Drosophila melanogaster: one gene and its partners. Changing the gene in region 3 together with the main gene of any one other region gives a genetic interaction. Each region holds a gene or a part of one and is shown on either strand. Other genes may lie near its edges.

Region 1 (4,863 bases), on a different chromosome or scaffold from region 3:
TCGTGTCTGTTTGTTTGGGCTTATACTTTGCATGAGTTGACATCTTTATTGCCAATTTATGTCCTTCCTGGCCCATTCGCAATTCGCAGGTAATTTCGCTTTGGGCGTGTCCAAACGGGGAAAAGGGAAGTGAAATATAAAACGAAATTGACCTCGTCATCGCCATATCTTAATTATTTGACAGACCGCAGAAAATTTACCCAGTTTCTACTTAAGCATTTACGGATTTACGTTTTTAATTTCGTTTCACTCGCAAGCGGAATCAATTTGAAATACAGCCTACGTGTTTGTTTAACAAAATATTTTGGGTGGCGGCATAAATGGCGTAACCGAGCGGCAGTTTTATGGTTGATTTGGGTTTTCACTTCTTTTCGTTAGTTTATTTGTATGTTTTATTACGCTTTTCTTTTACGCTGCTGCAGAGGAAAATCAAAAAAGTTCGAGGAGCGGCCTAAACTTTATAGTAAGGAACTTTATGGCAAGTAAAAAAGAAAAGGCAGCTGGCGAATATTTATGAACCACTACAGCCCAAATGAAATTGAATATTGAATAGCCTTACCGTGAATATAAGAACTGATTTAATTTTCTTGCTACGCACAAACTTTCAAGGATTATCCAGAATATTTCAGCGATTCCAAGAAGCCCCAATTAGCTGAGTTAATTTCAAGGCAAATGTTACGAGGAAAACCAAGTGAGCAGCACACATAAACCAGCAAATTAAAAGCTGTTGGCAGCGGGAAAATTGCTAAGCAATAATAATAATTTGTGGCATTAACAGGGAGCGAAATTTTCTGGCTAACTTTTCCCGTGCAGTCAGCCATTGATAAAGTGTCGCTATACAATTTATCAGCACTCCCTTTGGGAAACTGGGAAATGAAAATTGGGAGGGGAGCGGGAAAACGTGCGGAAAACGGCGGCAAAACAAACAGTTTCTGCCACTACTACTGCTGCACCTGCCACAAGGGAAAGCTGGCTGTGGTAATTTATGAGTCAGTCTCTGGAAACGCTGTGCACCTCGATGGTTTTTCATATTTTCATTATATCAAAAAGGAGCAAATAAACCGCACAAAGTTCCTCCTTTTTTTGGGGTTTGCAAATGGTATTAGCCCCGAACTTTGCATCCAAATTTGGGCTGAGTAAAAAGTTATTGTGGTGAAAATTTAAATGAATAACTAAGTAAATTGAAAATAATTGGATATGTATGTATTTTCAGGAGGCAAGTATATAAAATTTCCAGTGAATTATGGCAGAAGTTTTAAATAATTCGAGTTATTTTTCCAACTAAAATTTAATTTCGTACAATAGAAGAATAACAAATGAGGCCATAACTTTACGTGTACATTTATAAATAGAATTAATTATACATTTTTGTATTGTAAGCAAATATTATAGAAAAGTAGACAATTTTTGATATGTCGTTAAAGGTTTTTTGCTTTCAAGCAAAGTAAACGTTATTATCACTTTACTGCGAATCATATGTCGTAAACTAAATTGTGCCCCCAAAAGCAAGCTATGGAATTTGTGTTATCCTGCGGCCCATATCGCTGGCCATAAAAGTGACTTCTGACTACGCTTATTAGATACCATAAACAGGAGCATAACCTACGTTAATGCGCATTGGGGAAAAAAAATGCCCAAGGCGACTGTGGGACAACGAGGCGGCTACTTAACAAAGTTAAGGACCTAACACAAATTTGCCATCGGGCGCATAAAAGCGCTTGCGGATGTAGTGGCGTGTAATGGAGTGCAGTGTATACATCCAAATGCAAACATCCCTTTATATATAAATTTATATATACATATATGTGTATACACTTAAACAATTCATATTTGCGACACCATTAAGCAGCGGGCCGCGGGGAGCCCGGAAAACTGGGGGAAAATGGAAAAGTGGCAAAGAAAAAAGGCAAATGCGATAACGCCGTGCTCCCAGCGTGTTGATACAGTAAATAATACTCGAACCCCTGGACACAGGATTTTCATTCATCCGCACACACACAGGACACCGAAAAAAAGTCCTATAAACTAAAAAAAATTTAGTGTCTATTCTTCGCTTCTTTAAATATTTGTACAATTTCGGTTTTTTACTATAGCTGTAAAGATTTTTCTTAATTCAGAAAGTAAGGAAAATCACCACACTTTGATGTGATGAACATTTTCTCCAAGTGCACCCACACACACGCACGCACACCGAATGTTGAACAGTCGTTAATATGAATGTATTGGATATCGGAGATTGAACGGGCCTTACCTTCGTCCTCGTCGTCATTGAACTCCGTGATTGCCGCCTTGTCGCAGGGACGATCAATGCCATTTGTTGCTTCCGACTTGCCACTCCCCCCGCCAACTGCGCCGCCCCCGTTGGCCGCCTTCGCCTCGCCGTTGGAGATAATTGAACTGGATTTGGCGTGATTCGTATGATTGCTAGCGGATGACTTGGATGACTCGCCCTCCAAGGGAGGAGCACTGGGCTCCGGTTCGCCGTTGCTGACCGCATCCATGGCTGCGCCATCCTTCGTCTTTAGCTCCTGGCTGGTGTTGCAGCCCATCTTATTGGATCGAGGATTTGGCAATTTAGTCCGCGGCTTTTGATGGAGTCTCTACGCTTCCAGTTGGCCTAGGTTACCCTTGTGTTGTTTAATCAATTGCACACACACACACTATAGTACACACACACACATCCGAACTGGAAACTAGTTTATAAACGATACTTGTTGTTTCTGGGCCAATTTGCACTTTGACTTTCGCGAGCTGAAACCTTTTTCGCATTAAATGTTTACAAAAATACGTTGTGCCTCGGTAATTTTTTTTGTTCAAAAAACTTTGGTGTTTACAAAAGTCATTAGAAAAAGGTGCACAACCACAATTTACTAGCCAAAGAACTCGCACGGAACCGGAAGCGGAAACCAGCTGGATGGCAGACTCGCAGCGAAACTGACTGTCTCTGGCACAAGCTCAGGCACAACTGACTTTGACACTGAACGGCGCCGGCGACGCGTCCTCACTGCGGATGCCACGGACCCCGAATGCCCGATATCCCCACATCCTGCAGGAGCTGGAGTTTCGAGCTCAACAAGCAGCGACGCGCCAGCCGGCAGGCAACGACACACAAAGCCCAGGGAAACAGAGAGCCAGGACCTCGAGGAGAGATAGGAATAGGAAGCGAGAGAATTCTCTCTCCCGCTCTCTCGCAGGACTCACAGTGGGCAAAAATATATGGTTTATACATGTATGTGTAGAACTTAATTGTCTCAAAATTTCAAAGAAATTAAATAAAATAAAAATAAATGGTTAAACAAAAGCCACTTTTCCTCTGATTTTTTTTGGCAATAATCACAAAATCAGGATATGATATTTAAGTTTATGTTGGGATCTACAAATCAATGAATTAATTCAATTTCAATAAGCTTCTTATAAATGAACAATATTACAACGATGTATTAAGTGGCAAATAAATGACTTTTTTGTCTAAATATTTATTCTAAATAATTTTTCCTTCATGTATACTACTGTTTAGCAAGGGACTAAAAAAGAGACCCGAGAAGAGAGTGGCTCTATCCAGGCGGCAACGGCAGCAGCTGCCTCTGTTGTTGTTAGCCAGCGCTGGCTGCAAACTTTTTCGCAAATAAACAAACCGACTGCCGAATCCGACTCACAGATACGCACGCACACAGCCATGCTAGGAATGTGGCTTAGAGGCGCCGCAGAAACCGTTGTGGTGGCAACACAACCAGAATCCAAAGAGCGGCAAAGGCAGCCAAGGCAATGGCATCATCATCGAGAAAGGAATGGCCACACTCACACCAGCGCAGGCCAAAGGACTCTCTCACACACACACACACATACATACACATTGCGTGTAACCAGGCACAAACAGCTGAATGAAGAAAGCCCAGCCAAAATGAATGCAAATAAAAAGAATATATATTCAAGCAGAAAACCTGGCCCATAAAAATATCAATGAGCACCGGCCGCTCCCTTGAGTATATATAGCAATTCATAAAAGCAACTAGCTTTTGCATCTCGTACAGCTCAGCTGTCATCTGGCTTCCTTTTTGTCTTGGCATTAATATTTGGGAGTTGGCTCTTTGGCTTATGTATGAGTGAAGACGCTGCGATGGTGTGCGTGAGACAAATGAATTGGTTTAGCTTTTATTGTGTCTGCGATTCCTTTGTAGTTCCCTGTATTGCTTAGTTATTGTATCCCAAAATCTCCCACTTAATTTGCAATGCTTTAGAACTTTTGAATTTAAAAAGTATGGAATTTATGAATAAATTATAAATTCTAGAATTAAAGTGTATAATTGGGATGGCAATAAAGTTTTGTGTATACCACCTTTTATCTTAGAGATAGTACCATAACAATCAAGCTGAAGTGCGCATAGTCTAGTTGAAGTGCAAGCCACGAATACTCGTAAAGTGGGCGATATGCAGGCCTTGGGCCAATTTTAATCAAAACTTCCCTTGCTTACCCACAAAATGAATCCCGCATATGTATGTACATATGTTATTATATTACAGATGTCTGAGCATATGCAAATTAGCTTCACATTGCAAACGTGGCATAAGTGCGCAGAATAAACAGCCCGAAATGGGGCAGAAACAGGCTGAAAGGCATTGGTAAATATGTACCAATAACAGAGAGCTCTGTTTTAAGCACAATAAAATTATTAATTAAAGCGAGACCATTTAATTAACATGTCCATTAAAAGGTGCAGCCTTGATAAAAGCTATAGTCAAGCTACAAAAAAATCGAAACTGTACAAATTAATTGAGTTTCAATGGACATAAAATCCACCAGGGCTTTCTGAATTTCGATTCAAATTTAATAAGAGCTTTCCAAAAAGAACAGAGACAAATTTA
Region 2 (3,119 bases), on a different chromosome or scaffold from region 3:
CGGCTACAAAGTCCAGGACGTCGCTGAGCTCAAAATTAAGGCGTTCGGCGAAGGTGCGGCAACTTCTTTTGCGCCGTTTGCTTCGGTTGCCACTACTGCTGCTGGTCTGGACGGCCGGAGGATTCTCCAGGGGAGCAAAGGCGTCGATCTTGTTGAGCAGGGCGAGCAGGAACTGATTGTGCAGGTGCAGTTTGTCAGGTGTTAGGATTTTCCGCGACTCCGCATCGAATTCCTCCTTAGTCCAACGGCTCCGAAACCAATTCTTCATGTTGGCCCGGTAACGCTCCCAGTTGTCGCCCAGAGCCACCACTAGCGCCTCCTTGGTGGCCAGAACTCTGTCGGTAAGCATTTTAGTATTGGGAATAACAACTAAACAGGAAAATCCAACTGTTTGCGAATTGCTATATAAACAAATGAATGCAGCTGATTCGAGTGACCGTTCAAAGAACGGCTGAAAATACCAGATACATTTGAGATAAAAACCGTTATTTTTGAAGAACCCTTTAAAAAAATATTGGTTTTAATCTTTAGTGTTCACAGTTTTTATTGTGTACAAGTTAGTTAGTTAAAATATAAACATTAAAGATAGAGCCCACGCCATTCACACAACATAAGATGATAATATTTGCGAAGCTATTTGATCATTAAAAAAGTAATAGAATAGAATAAATATCTTGGTTAATGTTAAAAAATTTAACATAATTTAACATAAATTGTCAATACAATGAGTATTGTATATAAATGCTACGCATAAGAACATACTTAATATTGAAGGTAAACATTACACTGAAAATAACTATGGTTACATAAATATGGTATCGGATTTAGAAGGATAAGGAAAATTCTTTTAGCCTAGAAACACTCATCCTAATTGACGCGATCCCATCGCCACACGGTGCTGTCGTCGCACACGCAAACTAAAATGGAACCGTCTTTGGAGAAGGAAGTCTGTCGGATGGTGGAGTTGCTTTTGGGATGAACCAGCTGGCTACACTTTGTTAAATTGGGATCATTGCAGTCCAATTCCCAGACAAATGTTGTGCCCAGTTGATTGCCCAAGGCCAGAATCTTTTGCCAGGCGTTGAAGGCGAAGCGTACGAACCAGATTTCCGTAGAAATTGGTCAGATAGGGGAGCATAGCGTCCAATACACGTGGGTCCATTGGAGTGGTGGCCTGGGCATCCAGGTAAAGTGGTCTACCCTCGGTCTGTTCGTTCTTTATGTTGAATCGCACCTGTCTCTCCCGGAATTCTACGAACGAATACGATTTTGGTAAGCGGTAACTGTGCATCTTGGAGGATCCGCTTACCTTTGGATGTGGCGGCTGGTTTAGCCGCTGTCCTGGAGGAGGTGGCCTCGTGTCTAACCACATTGGCTAATGCATTCGTCGCCCGGGAGCGGAGGACCTGCGCCTGGATGCGTCCCAGCACTTTTTGCATTCTGATGGAATCCTAGAAATTCTGGTGTTAAAATTCGTTATCACGGATTTCACAATCAGTGGGACCGTATTCGGCGGCACGAGATATACCAAAGGACTCCGGAATTCACTTTAAAATTATCTGATTCGATTATGCAGAAGCAAGTTTCTGAATTTCTTTGAACATATGAAAAATGAATAGCATCTGTGCAAGAAACCAATATTTTTCAGATATATTCGCACTTAATGTATAATTTACAAGGAACTATATTTTCAAAAACCAGTTTTCATCTTAAATATGTTTGCTTACAAAATTATCTTAATCATTCAGCGAACTTAAGTTACGAATTCACGAAATTGCGCGCATAGGCACGGTATATTTTTCTCAGTGAGCCATAAAATACTCAAAGAATACTCAATACGCAAAGTAAGACAATTATAAACAAAAGTACAAAAGTTGAAGCAGTTTTGAAATAATAAATATAGGAAATAGGCAAAAATTAAAATCAAATTTAAATATGGTTGTCTGCCGGTTCTTTCAACAAGGCTCCTGCCGCTATGGCGCAAAGTGCAACAACGAGCATTTCGATGTTAAGTGAGTACATTGATATTAAAACTATGCAGATGAACTAATAACTTAATTATTTTAGGCAATATCTCAAAGCCGACATGGAATCCAGCCTCAATGGCAAGATGTGGCCTTTGTCCGCCTACGGACCCTTTAAGGACAAAGCGAATTTCCCCAACTTTATTCAGGACCAATCCTTCGAGGAGGTGCGGTTCATGTGTTACGAGGCCAAACGACAAAACCAATTCGAACAGTTCAGCCAACAGTTTAACCGTGAGGTCCTAGAGGCTAACAACAAGATGAAGACCATGCTTCAGATGTCGCCGCAGGTCCTGGAAATGATGATCAAGATCCACGAGACGCCGGAGGGCGGCACTGTGTCGGCTGCCCCTCAGCAGTCCAGTAATCCCTTCGCTGCAGCAGCTCCGGCTGCCGCCAATACATCTGCATCCATTTTTGGAAAGCCCACGCTGAGTGCGGGAAATATATTTGGGAATGCCACAAGCCAAGCCAGCAACACCAATAGCATTTTCGGCGGAACGATTAGCAATGCCAATGCAAGGAATAGCATTTTTGGTGTAGGAGCTGCGGCAACAGGTGCACAAAGTGTCTTTGGACAGCCACAGCAGCAACAGCTGCAGCCTGCTGCACAAGCTTTCCAAGGGGGCAACATTTTCGCCCAGGCGCAGGTTCAGGTGCAAGCTCAGCCAGTGAATCCTAATCCTTTCGGTGGTTTCCAACAGCAGCAGCAGCAACCACAGTCGACGGGAATCTTTGGCCAAGCCGCAAGCCAAAATATGGGCGGAATGTTTACTCAGGCTTCTCAGCAACTACAACAGCAGCAGCAGGCAGCTGCCTCCGGATTATTTGCTCAAGCAGCAGCATCTGCATTCCCTAATCAACAACAGATGCAGCAGCAGCAACAGATGCAGCAGCAGCAACAGATGCAACAGCAACAAATGCATCAGCAGCAGCAGATGCAACAGCAACAAATGCAGCAGCAGCAACAACAATTTCAAATGCAACAGCAACAGCAAATGATGCAGCAGCAGCAGCAGCAAGCTCAACCGACCAACGAAATCCAGTCCTCAGTTTACAGTCGCATGGAGGATCTCAACGAGCAGGAAATCGAAG
Region 3 (6,705 bases):
TGGCTATGGCTACCCAGGATTCCTCAGACGACTGCCGCTGATAAAGCTGGACTGGACCACAAATGGGCGTCGAGCGCAATTAGCGCCATATATCAATTACCGAGCAGTGTGGCACTCCACTCCGCTCCACATTACGTATACGCAGACGACGCGCCGCTAAGGTGTTTTCATTATAAATCATTTATTCAAATTGCATATTACGCCGACCGACTGGCTGTGGTCAGCACCTCGGCCAAGCTGACCACTGCTCTGATTGGGTTCCGGCGTCGGATCTTGTCGCGAACAGCTGATCGATGGATCGGACTGATCGGATCGGATCGGGTGAGTACATGGTATGATAACCACTTGACGCCTTCCAAGCGGACAGCTGTCGGGCGGCGATCGCCGAGAAAAAACAATATTTAAATAAATAGGAGTTTTCAAAGAATTCAAGCTGCTACACTCCGAAACTACCAAGGGAACTAATGTGTCCTGGAACGAAAAGAAAAGGCAATCAATCAATTTGCATTATATATATTTTTGACTAAAGATCGTTTCAGCCGTTCTTATTAAAAAGACCATAGTCTTTGGGAAAACTCCATTTATTTTTAGCTATTGGGTAAATTACATAAATTAGTTTGTTATCCCGTTGGTACACATCAAGTTTATCCATAAAAGACATATCCATTTACAAATGATTCACATATATTTCGTGTTTTTCGAAAAGCTTCGATCGAAATTCAGAAATTGTAGCTAAGACATGCACCTTCTTTAGCTAGTTTTCAAACCCAAAGTGATCTCACTTATGGATGTAAAGAAAAATATAACAAAAATGATTTGTTTTCGTTTTTGGTAAAAAGTCATGTAAATAAAAATCACACGTATTCAAAACTGTGCGCTCTGTAAAATAACTTTCAGAATTATAGTTCTTAAGTATCGGTATAACGCTTAAGCATCTTAATTCAATTTTGATTTAAAAGATCAATCTATTAGGGCTGCATCATCGGATTTTTGTCTTTTTTATTTATCATGGTAAATGCAATATCCGTAAAATCCTTATAAAATACATCATGTTGGTATCAAATTCTCTATGTAAGTCTGTGCACTCAAACTGAGATTTTCATGGTGGACACCGACGGATTATCCTTAGTCGCTAATGCGAGTACTTTAAGTTCGTTGGTATCATCAAATTCAAAACTTACAAATTACTTGACTTTATCTCACAAGTTGGTCTTCAGTTACGCTTTATTATATTTTTTTTTTTTTAGTGGAACTTAAGCGAAGTATAGCGTTAGAATATTATATTGCAGCTGAAACCTATCATTGTGATTCCCTTTTGATAGCGGGAAAAAAAACACAATCATAAAATTGCACTAGGGTGGGTCGATTTCTTCGATTTGCAGAATATGAGTTTATAAAATTATACACTTCCTAATAAACAATAAAAGTGGTCACCGGTTCTGTGTATTAGGCTTGAAGGCAACTAATTTCAAAGTTTCACGAAAGTATAGAATTTTATAGAAACCCACTCTGCAAGTAAGATATTTTGAAATATGGGAATATATTATTATATTATATTACGTTGTACTTTTTTCCCAAAAGGTTATAAGTATTTTTGTAACGGTTTTTTGTTTTAATACATATATATATATTTTTAATTGTAAACACATAACCGTTTTTCCAGTTTGAATCAATCAAATCGAACCACTCTGCTGTTTGATAATGGAATGTAAATTAATTTAAAGGCGTAGCTAGTGCCCTTGCACCCTATCCATTTCCAGACCGCCCTCCTCCTCCATTTTGCTGAGGAACTTGATAACCCGCTGGTGAGGCTCCGATTGCCGGATCATATCGATGAGAGCCAGCAGCTTCTTGATGCCGATACACAATCGCTTACCCGCCATTTTCCTGGCAATGCTCTGCAGCTCCTCGGGACTAAACAAATCAGAATCATCCAGCACGGCAAGCACGTTCTCGGGAGTTGAGAGATTGGACACATGCAGGACGGACGTGAAAGCCGAGAGCATTTCCATCTCCTCGAGAACGTCCCGCCGGCTGGAAGTGCACAGGATCAGCAGTTTTCTACCCTTTGGCGGTTGCTTTTTCAGTAGAACCAATAGCGCCTGCAGCGTGAGATTAGAGTACCTGGGTCCAATTGGACCGTAGTCTAGCAATCGCTCCACATTGTCCACCACAATGCAGCTCAATGTGGAGCGATAGGCGTCGTCGAAGATCTTGCGGATGTGCAGGCACTTGGCTGACTCCGTAAATCCTACCATATCTTCCGGGGAGCAGACCTTAACGAATGGGAAATCACTCAACTGGGCCAGATTAGCGGCCAGCGCTGATTTGCCGGAGTTGGGAGCTCCTTCGATGAGAACAGACACCAGGCCAGAGCTCTCAGTGGCCTTCGCCTGCTGTACGGAGAGCATTCCGTCCTCCAGGAGTTCGGTGACCGGTGGGCCCCAGTTTATAATTCCGCGTGCCAGCAGATTTTCCAGCATCTCCTGGGCTGCTCCAAAGGCGGGCTTGATGTCGTTGTCCAATGCGTGCAGAAAGTCGGCTCGCGTAACACGCAGTTTTTCCATAGCCTCCGGGTCCACGTGAACCTTGGATCGTAGAAAAGCAAATGATGATGGTAATTTTAGAATAGTGGAACAGTCGAACGTTAATCGCTTTCTTGGTTTATCGAAACCAAATTACTCGAAATTAAACGAAACCCGAAACGCAAACCGAGAGATAAATGAAATAAGCGAATACGCCAAATAAATAAAATAACATTTCGATCCGAATGTGAATTAAGAGAACCCCCTTTCTTTGCTTTCACGCCATGCTGTGCATCATATACCTTGGAGTCCGCCTTTATTAACCGATTCATGGCCGTGGATTGGGCCGCTCTAACCAGACCCTCCAACTCTGCGCCACTGAAGTTCTTTGTCTTGGCCGCGATCTCATTGTTGTCCACATCGCTAGCTATCTTGTTAAAGTCACGCATCCGCTTGGTGTGGATATTCAGGATCTGGACGCGACCCTGCTCGTTGGGCAAGCTGATCTCCATTTGCACTTCCAAGCGTCCAGGTCGCAGCAGGGCCTCATCGATCATGTCCCGCCGGTTGGTCATTCCTATTACCAGGATGTTGTTCAACTGCTCCACGCCGTCGATCTTGGCTAGCAGTTGATTGACGACCGTGTCGTGGACACCACTATTACCGGCCACGGATCCGCGAGCCTTGCAAATGGCGTCGATCTCGTCGAAGATGATGATGTGCAGTCCACTGTTCGGTCCCAAGCGCTTTTCCTCCTCCTCGGCCTCGGCAAACAGTCGCCGGATATTGGCTTCTGATTCACCCACGTACTTGTCCAGGATCTGCGGTCCATTCACGATCTTGGGTTCGCGGGCATTCAGCATGGTACCTATTTGCCGGGCCATCAGGGTTTTTCCCGTGCCTGGTGGTCCGTACAACAGAATACCCTTAACGTGCTTGATGCCCAGTTGTTCGACAAGTTCCGGCGGAAAAACACGAGAGGCGAAGGCGCGTCGGAAAATCGCATTGAACTCTTTGTCTAGGCCACCAATGCCCATCTTGCCAAAGTCCCAGTCCGGATTTATGATGGACTGCCGCACGATCTTACCCTTGGAGCGACCCTGCAGATTTAGCACAGAGTTTTCGGCCTTCTCGAACTGCACCACCGTGTTACCGAGGATGCGGCCGAATCGTACGTTCCGAGTCTTCGGTAGGGAATCGCCCACTGTTCGGGGATCCACTGCCTCCAGCGTTTTTACAGCGAGGCCCAGGAATTTCTTGTCTTTGAACTGAAAGGCGGTAAACATCCTTATTAGCAAACGAACGATATATGTACATTAAGGAGCATGTTAGAAGAATTACTATGTTAAGATAGTTGCATTTCCTATGAGGGCAGCCTAACACACTATTTTTAGTTCATAAAAAAGGGGGACATTGTATGCTGAATTATTAAAAAAGATTTGGCAGAGAGCCAAAAAGATGATCTAAGGGAGAGTTACGTGTCTTTGGGTTTCTAATTGTTGGAGGTAAGCTACCTTGTTAATATTTGCATTAGGTCACCGTCTAAATGTGGAATATGAGATTCAGCATCTCATGACAATCAAGACACGTCAGTAAATATAAAATAACGAATATCGAATAACACAAATAACGAATATTCTCACTACCGCTATGCTATGAACGTATAAATCTTTTTGTAAAGTTATACAAAACCAAAATTATTATAAGTGCACACAATAAATGGTGAAATAATGAATAGGTGCGTCCGAGATAAACCGAGAACCCTCATTGAATTGGGTAGTATTTTAACTGGCTCTGGCATATATCACTAATCCTCTCCAGATTACTACCTTAGTTTCAGTCCTTTGCTATCTATTTTTCTATACTGCATACATTTATGGGGGAGCCACATCCACACCATTACCTGAAAGACGAGCGTTTGGCCGACGGTCAGCGGCATTCCGGCGAACTGCATGAGGAACTCCTTGGCCATCTCGTCGGAGTCGTAGGGCTCCTGCGTGGTGGTCTTCTTCTGCAGGAAGTCCGTCTCGAAGGAGACCAGTGTGATGATATCGGCGCTGGCATCGAATCGGTACGGCCGCACGTCTATTTCCTGGTTGATGGAGAGCGTGGCCCACTTGCGCTGGACCAGCGAGAATCCGACGTGGCCGAGCGGCAGCTCCGGCCCGCTGATCTTCTCCAGCGCGAAGATGTAGTGCAGCCCCGGGCCCGGCGAGATGTCCACATATCTGCAGGGTATCAAGCGGTGCGTCATTAGCATAAGCGAAAGTTTCCATAGGCTCGTACGCCCACGTAGGAAGTGGAAAAACAACAAAAACCAACACTCACTTGACCTCCTCCGTGAAATCGGACACATTCACAATCGCCTTGTTCGTCAGGGACAGCTCATCCGTTGGGCATTTGATCGCTCTCATCCGGTGGGCTTTTTCAATTGACATTTTCGTAGCAATTTTATAATATAATCCCGAAATTGTCTCAAACAGCTGATAGCCCGTTGAGGGAGTGCAACCCTGTTCGGCATTGCGTGTGTGTATGCACTGTGATTGCGAGCAAAAGATGCCTGCTACGGCACCTGCAGTGCAAATTTGAATTCATTGGCGCGCATTTGCATTTTCTAATAATACATATATCCCCCGCATTCAAGACTTCTTCGCTGTTGCTAAGCAGCTCTGCAGCACCAGGATTGGTGAAGAAAACAATCCAAAAAATGTGTTGTATCAAAAGCCAAATCCTCTAAGTAAATAACGATAAAATGGGTGGCATTTGCAATTCAAATATCTTTATTTTTACTTATATATATATAATATGGTAATAAAACTTGTTATGCCAATCACCAAAGACACTAGAACAATATAATATATATATATAATATATAATATATATTATATATATAATTATGTATATATATATATATTGGACAACGACATCAAGCCCGCCTTTGGAGCAGCCCAGGAGATGTTGGGCCCACCGGTCACCGAACTCCTGGAGGACGGAATGCTCTCCGTACAGCAGGCGAAGGCCACTGAGAGGTCTGGCCTGGTGTATATATAATATATATATAATATAATAATCTAGTATCTTTGCAATCACATTATCGGGCTGTTCATTTTAGTCTTAAGAACATTGCAATGCAATGGAAGCAAGTTCATCCAAAAAATAATGCAATATTATTTTTTTAGATGGTTTTTTTATGCTTACGTGGTTCTTTTAAATATAAAGCATTACTGAATTATTTGGAATCACTTGGAATTATTTTCCTGGAATTGTAGATACAATATTGCATTTCCTAACCTAACGTCTTAAATGTATTGAGGTACAAGTGGACTAGAATGGTTCCCTACCCATCCCATTGCTTCGCCCAATTTCTTCAGCAATTTGGCAGCTCGACGGTCGGGATTTAGGGAATTCACCCACGCAATCAAGTCAAGCAACCGTTTGATGCCAATGGAGACGTTGCGGCCATCCATGGCGATCTCGATTTGGCGTAGCTCCTCGGGCTCGAATCGTTTTGAAGCTTCCACTATGACCATAAGTTCTTTAGGCGTGGAAACATTTGGCACATTGTGAACTGAAGTGAAAACGGATAGCAAGCCCAGTTCCTCCAGGACATCGAGACGATTGCTTGTGCAAATGATGATGAGCTCGTGGCTGTTGGGCGGTTGTTTCTTCAGAAGAACCGTCAGCTTCTGCAGGAACTCCTTGGAGTACCGCTTACCCAGGGCGCCGTAACCAATGACACGCTCAAAGTCGTCAATGATGACGCAGCTGCGCCTGGAAACATAGGCGTCCTCCAAGACTTCCCGTATTCTCTGGCATTTTTCGGAATCGCTAAGTCCCAGCAATTCGGCCGACGAGATGTATTTTATAAAAGGGCAGTCTGTTTTCAAAGCCATTTGAGCGGCCACCGTAGTTAGGCCTGACTTGGGCTTACCTTCGACCAGATGGCAAGACCATCTTGGGCGTCCGGTGGACAGGAGATCATTCGGATCGAAAGCGGTACGATCTAGATATTCATATGGCATGAGCAGCTGGAGAGTCTCCTCCTGCCGGCCAAATCGTGGCTGAATGATCTTTACCGCGGCCAGGAGATCGACCTGAGTGACTTGAAGGCCCTTCGGGCATCTGGTGACGTGAGTGCGGACAATGGCTTCATGGAGGGCTTCTCGGACCAGTTGGCACA
Region 4 (7,108 bases), on a different chromosome or scaffold from region 3:
ATATAATGCTGCTTAAATATGCTAACCATGACCACTACTTAATATAATTATATTATTATTATTATTATTCTTAGCAGTCCTTCGATTTTGCCCATTGTGCGAGGTCTACGCATTGTTTTTCTAGCAGGAATGGACGATTGTCGTAGGAGGGGGGGTAATGAACCGCGTGTGAAAAGTGTCACTGGCCGTGTATGTGTGTGTGCGATGTGTGTTTGTGTGTGCGAGCGGGAGATGCCGATGCCTCAATTGCGGTTCATTTATATGGAGCACTGAGAGCAGCGGCCTGGAGCAAAAACAAAAACATTCAACGGGAGCGAGCGGAAGTGCGCAGCTCTCCCCGGCGCTCCTGCTTCCGCTTCCTGTTGGGATGTGCTGGAATTTCAGAGCACAGGACACTGAGAGAGACAGAGAGGACATGGACTCGGAACCCATGTGCTTGGGGGATGAGCGAATCCTTTTCCCGGAAAGCGTGTCATTGTGTTTCGCTCCAGAGGAGCCTGCGCGAAAATGATCCAAAGGCACAGCCATAAATCAGGAGCTCCGTTGCAACGCTACATTCCATTTGCAAATAGTAATCATTAACATTTATTTTTTAGCTAAAATAGAAAGCCTGGCTTTCCATAACTACAAATTTAGTGGGGGTCAACATATAACAACTGTGAGTATTAACTGACGCTTTTCGAATTGCGAAAGTCGAACAGTTTGGGTATGACATCGCCGCACTTGGCGGATATCTTGATATCCGCCAGGTGATCGGCGCGCGTTTCGCCAATATTAACAATGCCCACCGGTAGCTTGAGGTCCTTGGTCTGCAGGACAACGCGGTAGCCGGAGAAGACCAGGAGACTGGACCCGAGGACAAGCAGGCCATCGCTATTGTACACCATGCCGGCAATCTGATCCACTCGTGGCCGAGGCACAGAATCTCCGAAGAAGACAATTTCCGGCTTCAAGTCGCCGCCGCACTGCGTACACTCGGGTATCCGGAAGTTCTCGATGTACTCCAGCGGTATCTCTACATCGCCATCGGGCCGGATCATGTCGGGGGCATCTTTGAAGGCCGGATTTAGCGACGCCAGTATGCTCTGGAACTCGTGACGATCGATCCGGTACTCGCATGACAGGCACTTGACCACATAGCCACTGCCATGAACCTCCACAACATTTCGGCTGCCCGCCTTCGTGTGCAGCCGGTCCACGTTCTGGGTGACCACCGCCTGGACCCGCTCCTCCCGCTCGAATCTGGCCAGCGCGTGATGCGTGGCATTGGGCTGTGTGGCAGAAAACTTGGGCCAGCCCACAAAGTTCCTGGCCCAGTACCGCTTGCGCACCGCCGACGACTTGACGAACTCCATGTGCTGGACGGGCTTGTGGTTGGAGCGGGCGTAGAGGCCCACGCCTTCGGAACGGTAATCGGGAATCCCTGGAATTTATTTCAAGTTTTTAGACAGCCAGAAATGTTGATTTAAATAAAATACTAATGCGAATCCAAGTATAAGCTAGAAGTCACTTGCATTAGCATTATATAAATAAATGAATAATGTACAAGCTTTTGGAAGTCAATCTGAAATATTTGTGTTAATGGCTTCTGAACATAGAAAAGTCGGAAAATCATGAAACTCACCCGATTCCGTCGAGATGCCAGCGCCCGTGAGAACCAAAACATTCGGTTTGGACAGGAGAAAGTCCTCCAGCCGTTTGATGTCGTCCTCCACGACGGGCTTGTGATGCGGCACGTACTCCTGCCTGGCGGTGGAGCTGCGCAAGCTGGTGCTCCGGAAGCGGAGCAGCTGGCCCACACGCATTGTTTTGTTATGTATTATTGCAAGTAATATTTGGTTCTTTTTCGGTTACGTTACTAGAGGTGAGCGCACGCACATCGATGGCAACTCCTTCAGTCGCTTACCGCTGTAAATCGATTGTATGCCCCGCAATGGCAATCGATAACTGTACGACCCCCATCGATTTTTACACGCCATCAGCCGATAGCAGCTTGCCAGCAGCTACCATCTCTAGAGCAACGGCTGCAGAAAAAAGATATTCTATTCGGTAATTTACGCGTGGATTTATCACGCGCCGTGAACCCAGAAGTTACAGGCCAACCTTTCCGAGATTCGATCAGTGAACCTTGCGGGCGTCCAGCTTCGTAAGCACGAAACAGGACATTCACACACATATTTATCACTCCGTGTGGCGTTTGCGCCCATCCGTGCGTGCCTGTGTGTGTGTGTGTCGCTCGTCTGTGCGTGCGTGAGTGTGTTTGTGAATTGTCGGCTTTAATTTTGCAAGCTCGCTAAAGTTGTGTTTTCAAAGGACATCGCAAAGGAGTCGCAGCGCACAAGATGTCGTACCCGCCGCGGGCGCCCATGCCGCCCTTCATGAATACAGCCATACCGCCGCCGCACGTAAGTCCACCTTTTCTGGGTCACAATCACCATGAAGCTGTCAGAATCTGACGCCAAATCCTTTTCCACCTACTCCATCCGCTTTCAGATAATGCAGAACATGGCCAAGCCGCCGAGGAGCTTCCGTAACTCGGCCACCATTAGTTCACAGCCGACAGTATACCAACGTCCGCCGGAGCCGCAACCACAGTTCCGCGGACCCATCATTACCGTCTTCGTGGGCAACATCAGCGAACGCGTCCCGGAGGCACTGCTCAAACGCATCCTGAACGCTTGCGGCGTGGTAATCAATTGGAAACGGGTGTCCACATTCGGCTTCTGCGAATTTGAGTACGTTCAACCATAAATCGGTCATCCCAAAATCACTTTAGAAGGCTTAGGGCAGCACAAGAAGGTTTCGTTAGTTAAATAACGCTAGAAAAGTAATTGAAGAGCCATTGCATAAACAGCAGCATAACGCATCTCACTCGTTGTTTGATGCGTTTCCTAGAATAGCTTAGCTTATTTATAAAAAGATTGAAATACTTCTAGGAATGCTCCCTACTGCGACAGCTCTTCAAATTCTATATGCGCGATCGAATAACTACTCGAGCACTTTTAAGTAACCTAACTTTAAGCAATACAACACAGGGTTGAGCTTGCATACATTTATGTTTAGAGCCAACGGGCAGTCCACCCATTTGGCTCTCCAATTGTTCCTATAAATACTCTGCCTAACCGCTTTCCTTGGCATTCTTTCAGCGGACCTATTGCGGCAATGCGAGCCGTTCGCCTGCTCAGCGAGATGGAAATCGATGGCAAGAAGCTGGTAGCCAAGGTAGATGCCAAGAACAAGGTTCTCATCGAGGATTACAAGGAGCAGGAGTGCAAGAACGGCGATCGTTCCAACCCAGTGGACGAAAAGACCGAGGACGAGTTCGCCATTGCCCAGATGCACGAATTCCTGGAAGAGCACAAGCACGAGTTCGAAGGATTCGATAGCAGCAGTCGCGCCGATTTGTACGGCAGCGCCAATCGCAATAAGAAGACACGCCGCGAGGAAGACATAAAGATGAAGGTGCTAAGCGAAAATACCCTGGAGGAAGAAAAGCGCAACTTGATTAGCAGCGAGATAGGCAAATTCCGTATGCGTGCGGAGGAAGACGAGCACCGCAAAGAGCTGGAGAAGGAGAAGGAAAAGGAGAAGCTTGCGGCCAGCAAGGAGAAGGAGCGCAAAAAGCAGCGCGAAATGGAGCGAATGTCGTCGACCAGCAAGTCTGGCAGCTCATCGACAGCGGCCGCCAGTTCCTCCAGCGCTACAGCCACCTCTTCGACACCCGCCGCCGATGGGGCTGACATGTCGGATAAGACAGACAAGGAATCAGTCGCTGTTGTGATCAAGGAAACAGTTAAGGAGTCAAAGGAATCTGCCTCCTCCACCGGACGCAAGGAGTCGTCGTCGGCTGCCATCGAGATAACACAGAAGGAGCGCCGCTCTGACTCAAAGGAGACACGTCGCCGCCGCTCCAAATCCCGCTCCAAGGATCGCGAACGGGAACGTGAGCGTGAGCTGCGCGAGCTTCGCGACAAGGAGCGCGAACGTGAAAGGGATCGGGAGCGTGAGCGCGAGCGGGAACGCAACGAAATGCGCGAACGGGAGCGCAACGAGATGCGCGAACGGGAACGCGAAAGGGAGCGTGAACGGGAGCGCGAGGAGAAGCTGCTGAAGCCAGTCCGGGACACGTGGCGTGAAAAGGAAATGGAGGACGAACTGCGCGACCGCAAGAAAGCCGAGAAGAAGGCGCGCGAAAAGGAGATCGCCTACCAGACGCGCCTAACCGACTGGGAGGTTCGCGAGAAGCGCAAGGCTAAGGAGAACGAGAAGGTAAGTGACCACACAGTTTGCGGCACATGCTCTCAATCAACCATTACTAACTTTATGTCCAACAGTACCGCCTGAAGGAGTTGCTGCGCCAGGAGGAGCGCGAGACCGACGCCAAGCGACTGAAGGAGTTCGTCGAAGATTACGACGATGAGCGCGACGATTCTCTGTATTATCGCGGCCGCGAGCTGCAGCAGCGACTGGCGGAACGAGTGCGCGAGGCGGATGCCGATTCCAAGGATCGCGAGAAGGAGGCCGAAGAGTTGGCCGAACTCAAGTCCAAATTCTTTAGCGGGGAATACGAGAATCCGTCGCTGGAGTTCGAAAAGGCGCGTCTCGAGATCGAGAAGCTCTACGAGCCGCGCATCCTGATCAATGTGAACCAAGAGCCTCCGGCAGCGGCGACATCATCGGTCCACCAGCGCAAGCAGGCCGCCTCGGCGCCGGGCGAAGACGACGAGGGGCAGAAGCAGCGACAGAAGAGCCAGCAGCTGGACAGCTACGACCCAGACATGGCCGGTACGAATGATGATGACTCCATATCGAACGACGACCGTGCATCCATGGCCGACACAGCCTCCAATGCCAGTGGTGTCTATGCCAAGAACAACAACAACGACCAGTCGCTGTCGAATAGCTTGAGCAGGCATAACAGTGAGTCGCGCGATTCGCTGGCCCAGATCCATACTCCCACGCAGAGCGCGATCCTTAATGACCAAGAATCGGGTCACGATGCCATACTGCCATCGGCCACGCCGCCCATGACCATGCCCCTTATCTCGCTGACGCTGGGCAATAACCTCAAGAAGAAGAAGATAGAGGCCACAGGCGTGTTCGTCAACGACGACGACAACGATGAGAACATCAATCCCAAGAAGCGCAAACTTGTGCCGCTAGGTGAGTTTTCGATCAACTATATTAGATCGTAGAGCATCCTCTGATGACTTGCTGTTTGTTACCTTGCCTTCGCAGACTACGATGATAACATAAGCAACACCACGCCATCCAATCATGCAGCCAGCAGCGGCAGCGGAGCTGCGAACAACAGCAGCAGCAGCAACAACAATAACAGCAGCTCGGCGGATCGCCAAAGCTCCGCCGTGTCGGCGGCAACCGCTGCAGCCGCTGCCGTTAGCCAGAAGATCGCCCAGGCTTTCGGTGGCGGCTCATCGGGGTCGGGTTCGGGATCCGGCTCCGGTTCGAACGCATCAGGCGGCAAGAACAACGGCGGCGGCAGCAGCAGCAGCAGCAACAACAAACATAACAGCAACAGCAAACATGGTAAGAATGAGGCAGCTGCATCTGCTGGCAGTAGCGCAGATGCTGCCGCTGCGAACATCAAAAAGGATGAGAATGGTGCAAAGGTGTATGATGAAAAACGGCGGCATATAAAAAGCATTATTGACAGGATACCCACGCAAAAGGAGGAGCTATTTAATTATAAGCTAGACCGCAACGAGATTGACAGCGGTCTAATGGAACGCAAAATACGTCCATGGATAAATAAGAAAATCATCGAGTATATCGGTGAGCCGGAGCCGACGCTAGTGGACTTTATATGTTCCAAAGTGTTGGCCGGCAGCCCGCCTCAAAGCATCTTGGATGATGTGCAAATGGTGAGTAGTTTGAAGCGATACGATACGATACGATAACCACTACCATTCTATGAACTAATCCAAACTCTATCCCTCTCGCTCTGTTTCAATGTTTCAAATCTTCAGGTACTCGACGAGGAAGCCGAGGTCTTTGTGGTGAAGATGTGGCGTCTGCTCATTTACGAACTGGACGCCAAGAAGAGCGGCCTTGCGGGGAAGTAGTAAGGAGATGGGAGAGATGCCCGTCGTGCGCATCACTGGGGAACTGGGCGGGAGCAGGTGCGGATCCGAGGTATCGATGGAGGAGCAACAGCGTGAAGTTAGATTCTAAGTTACTCTTACGGAACCTATGCGATTACAAAAATGTACATAAGGGGCGTGCTCCGGGAATTGTTGCGGCCAAATGTCCAGCTTTGTTTTCTAAGCATCCGTCGCGTGCAAGGGATTTACAAGAAATTGATGAATAGCGAGCGAGCCAATCGTGAAGAACAGCTTCATTGATTTCTAAATCCACCTTGTTAGCGTTAATTAATAAATATTAATCATCGATAATTGTAAATATAAACCGAACTCACTTATAAATTTACACCACCAGATGCAATAGAAATAAAAAAAATCGCATAGCCCATGTACATTTCAGTTGGTCACTAATCCAATTCTCCACTTTATTTGTTGCGTTTGTGAACGCAAATGGAAAACTATCATCATGTCAATAAAATAATGAAAAGAAAATGCTGAACTTGACTTTTGACTGGTCGCAGACGAAATGCAAGCAGATGGACAATAAGCCGTACAGGAATATTAGAAGGATAGAATTTAAAAAGGATTCTGACTGATCTGCAAACCCTGCAAGCTAAGTGAATCGATAGCCCTGCTCAGATTGGAGTACACGATTGAACGTTAAGGTTGATTGACTTTATGCTAGTGATATTGAAACGATTAAATAAATACACGATATAAATTTGACAAAAGCACGCATAACATTCGAAATCAACAGTAACACGTAGACGCGCTTGCCTCCAGATCCCGATCGCTGGCGATGTCCAGACCGGCGGAGGCATTGCCATTGTTGAAGTATTCGGAGGAGACGATCTGCAAAGCGGATGTGGATAATTGGAAACACGAATGCCAAGTATTTGGTTGGTAGCTAGCTCACCTTCTCCACCACATCTTTGAACACATCGCTGACGAACTGATCGCATTTGGCTGAGGTCTCGATGAAGAGCGCCCTGTGCTTCCTGGCAAAC

Evidence for each region.
Region 1: of Nsf2 (region 3) and igl, changing one suppresses a phenotype caused by changing the other (phenotypic suppression), as found in Drosophila melanogaster (one study listed by BioGRID).
Region 2: of Nsf2 (region 3) and Qtzl, changing one suppresses a phenotype caused by changing the other (phenotypic suppression), as found in Drosophila melanogaster (one study listed by BioGRID).
Region 4: of Nsf2 (region 3) and CG4119, changing one suppresses a phenotype caused by changing the other (phenotypic suppression), as found in Drosophila melanogaster (one study listed by BioGRID).

Annotation. Positions count from the first base shown.
Region 1 is NT_033778.4:15,153,604-15,158,466, reverse strand, and holds the start of igl (igloo), read right to left. Parts: upstream 3,031-4,863; 5' UTR 2,550-3,030; coding exon 2,252-2,549; intron 1-2,251.
Region 2 is NT_033779.5:11,994,134-11,997,252, reverse strand, and holds Qtzl (quetzalcoatl), read right to left. Parts: upstream 1,514-3,119; 5' UTR 1,440-1,513; coding exon 1,310-1,439; intron 1,252-1,309; coding exon 1,010-1,251; 3' UTR 530-1,009; downstream 1-529. Other genes in the region: Ada1-1 (transcriptional adaptor 1-1), read right to left, coding at 1-349; CG18789 (uncharacterized protein), read left to right, coding at 1,936-2,012, 2,068-3,119.
Region 3 is NT_033777.3:13,832,950-13,839,654, forward strand, and holds Nsf2 (N-ethylmaleimide-sensitive factor 2), read right to left. Parts: upstream 5,043-6,705; 5' UTR 4,964-5,042; coding exon 4,854-4,963; intron 4,754-4,853; coding exon 4,429-4,753; intron 3,794-4,428; coding exon 2,828-3,793; intron 2,589-2,827; coding exon 1,731-2,588; 3' UTR 548-1,730; downstream 1-547. Other genes in the region: CG31495 (uncharacterized protein), read right to left, coding at 5,825-6,705. UniProt on the Drosophila melanogaster protein: Required for vesicle-mediated transport. Catalyzes the fusion of transport vesicles within the Golgi cisternae. Is also required for transport from the endoplasmic reticulum to the Golgi stack.
Region 4 is NC_004354.4:5,664,064-5,671,171, forward strand, and holds CG4119 (uncharacterized protein), read left to right. Parts: upstream 1-1,988; 5' UTR 1,989-2,342; coding exon 2,343-2,405; intron 2,406-2,493; coding exon 2,494-2,735; intron 2,736-3,146; coding exon 3,147-4,269; intron 4,270-4,334; coding exon 4,335-5,163; intron 5,164-5,238; coding exon 5,239-5,882; intron 5,883-5,987; coding exon 5,988-6,083; 3' UTR 6,084-6,589; downstream 6,590-7,108. Other genes in the region: Sirt4 (sirtuin 4), read right to left, coding at 666-1,423, 1,625-1,805; Rab18, read right to left, coding at 6,852-6,953, 7,018-7,108.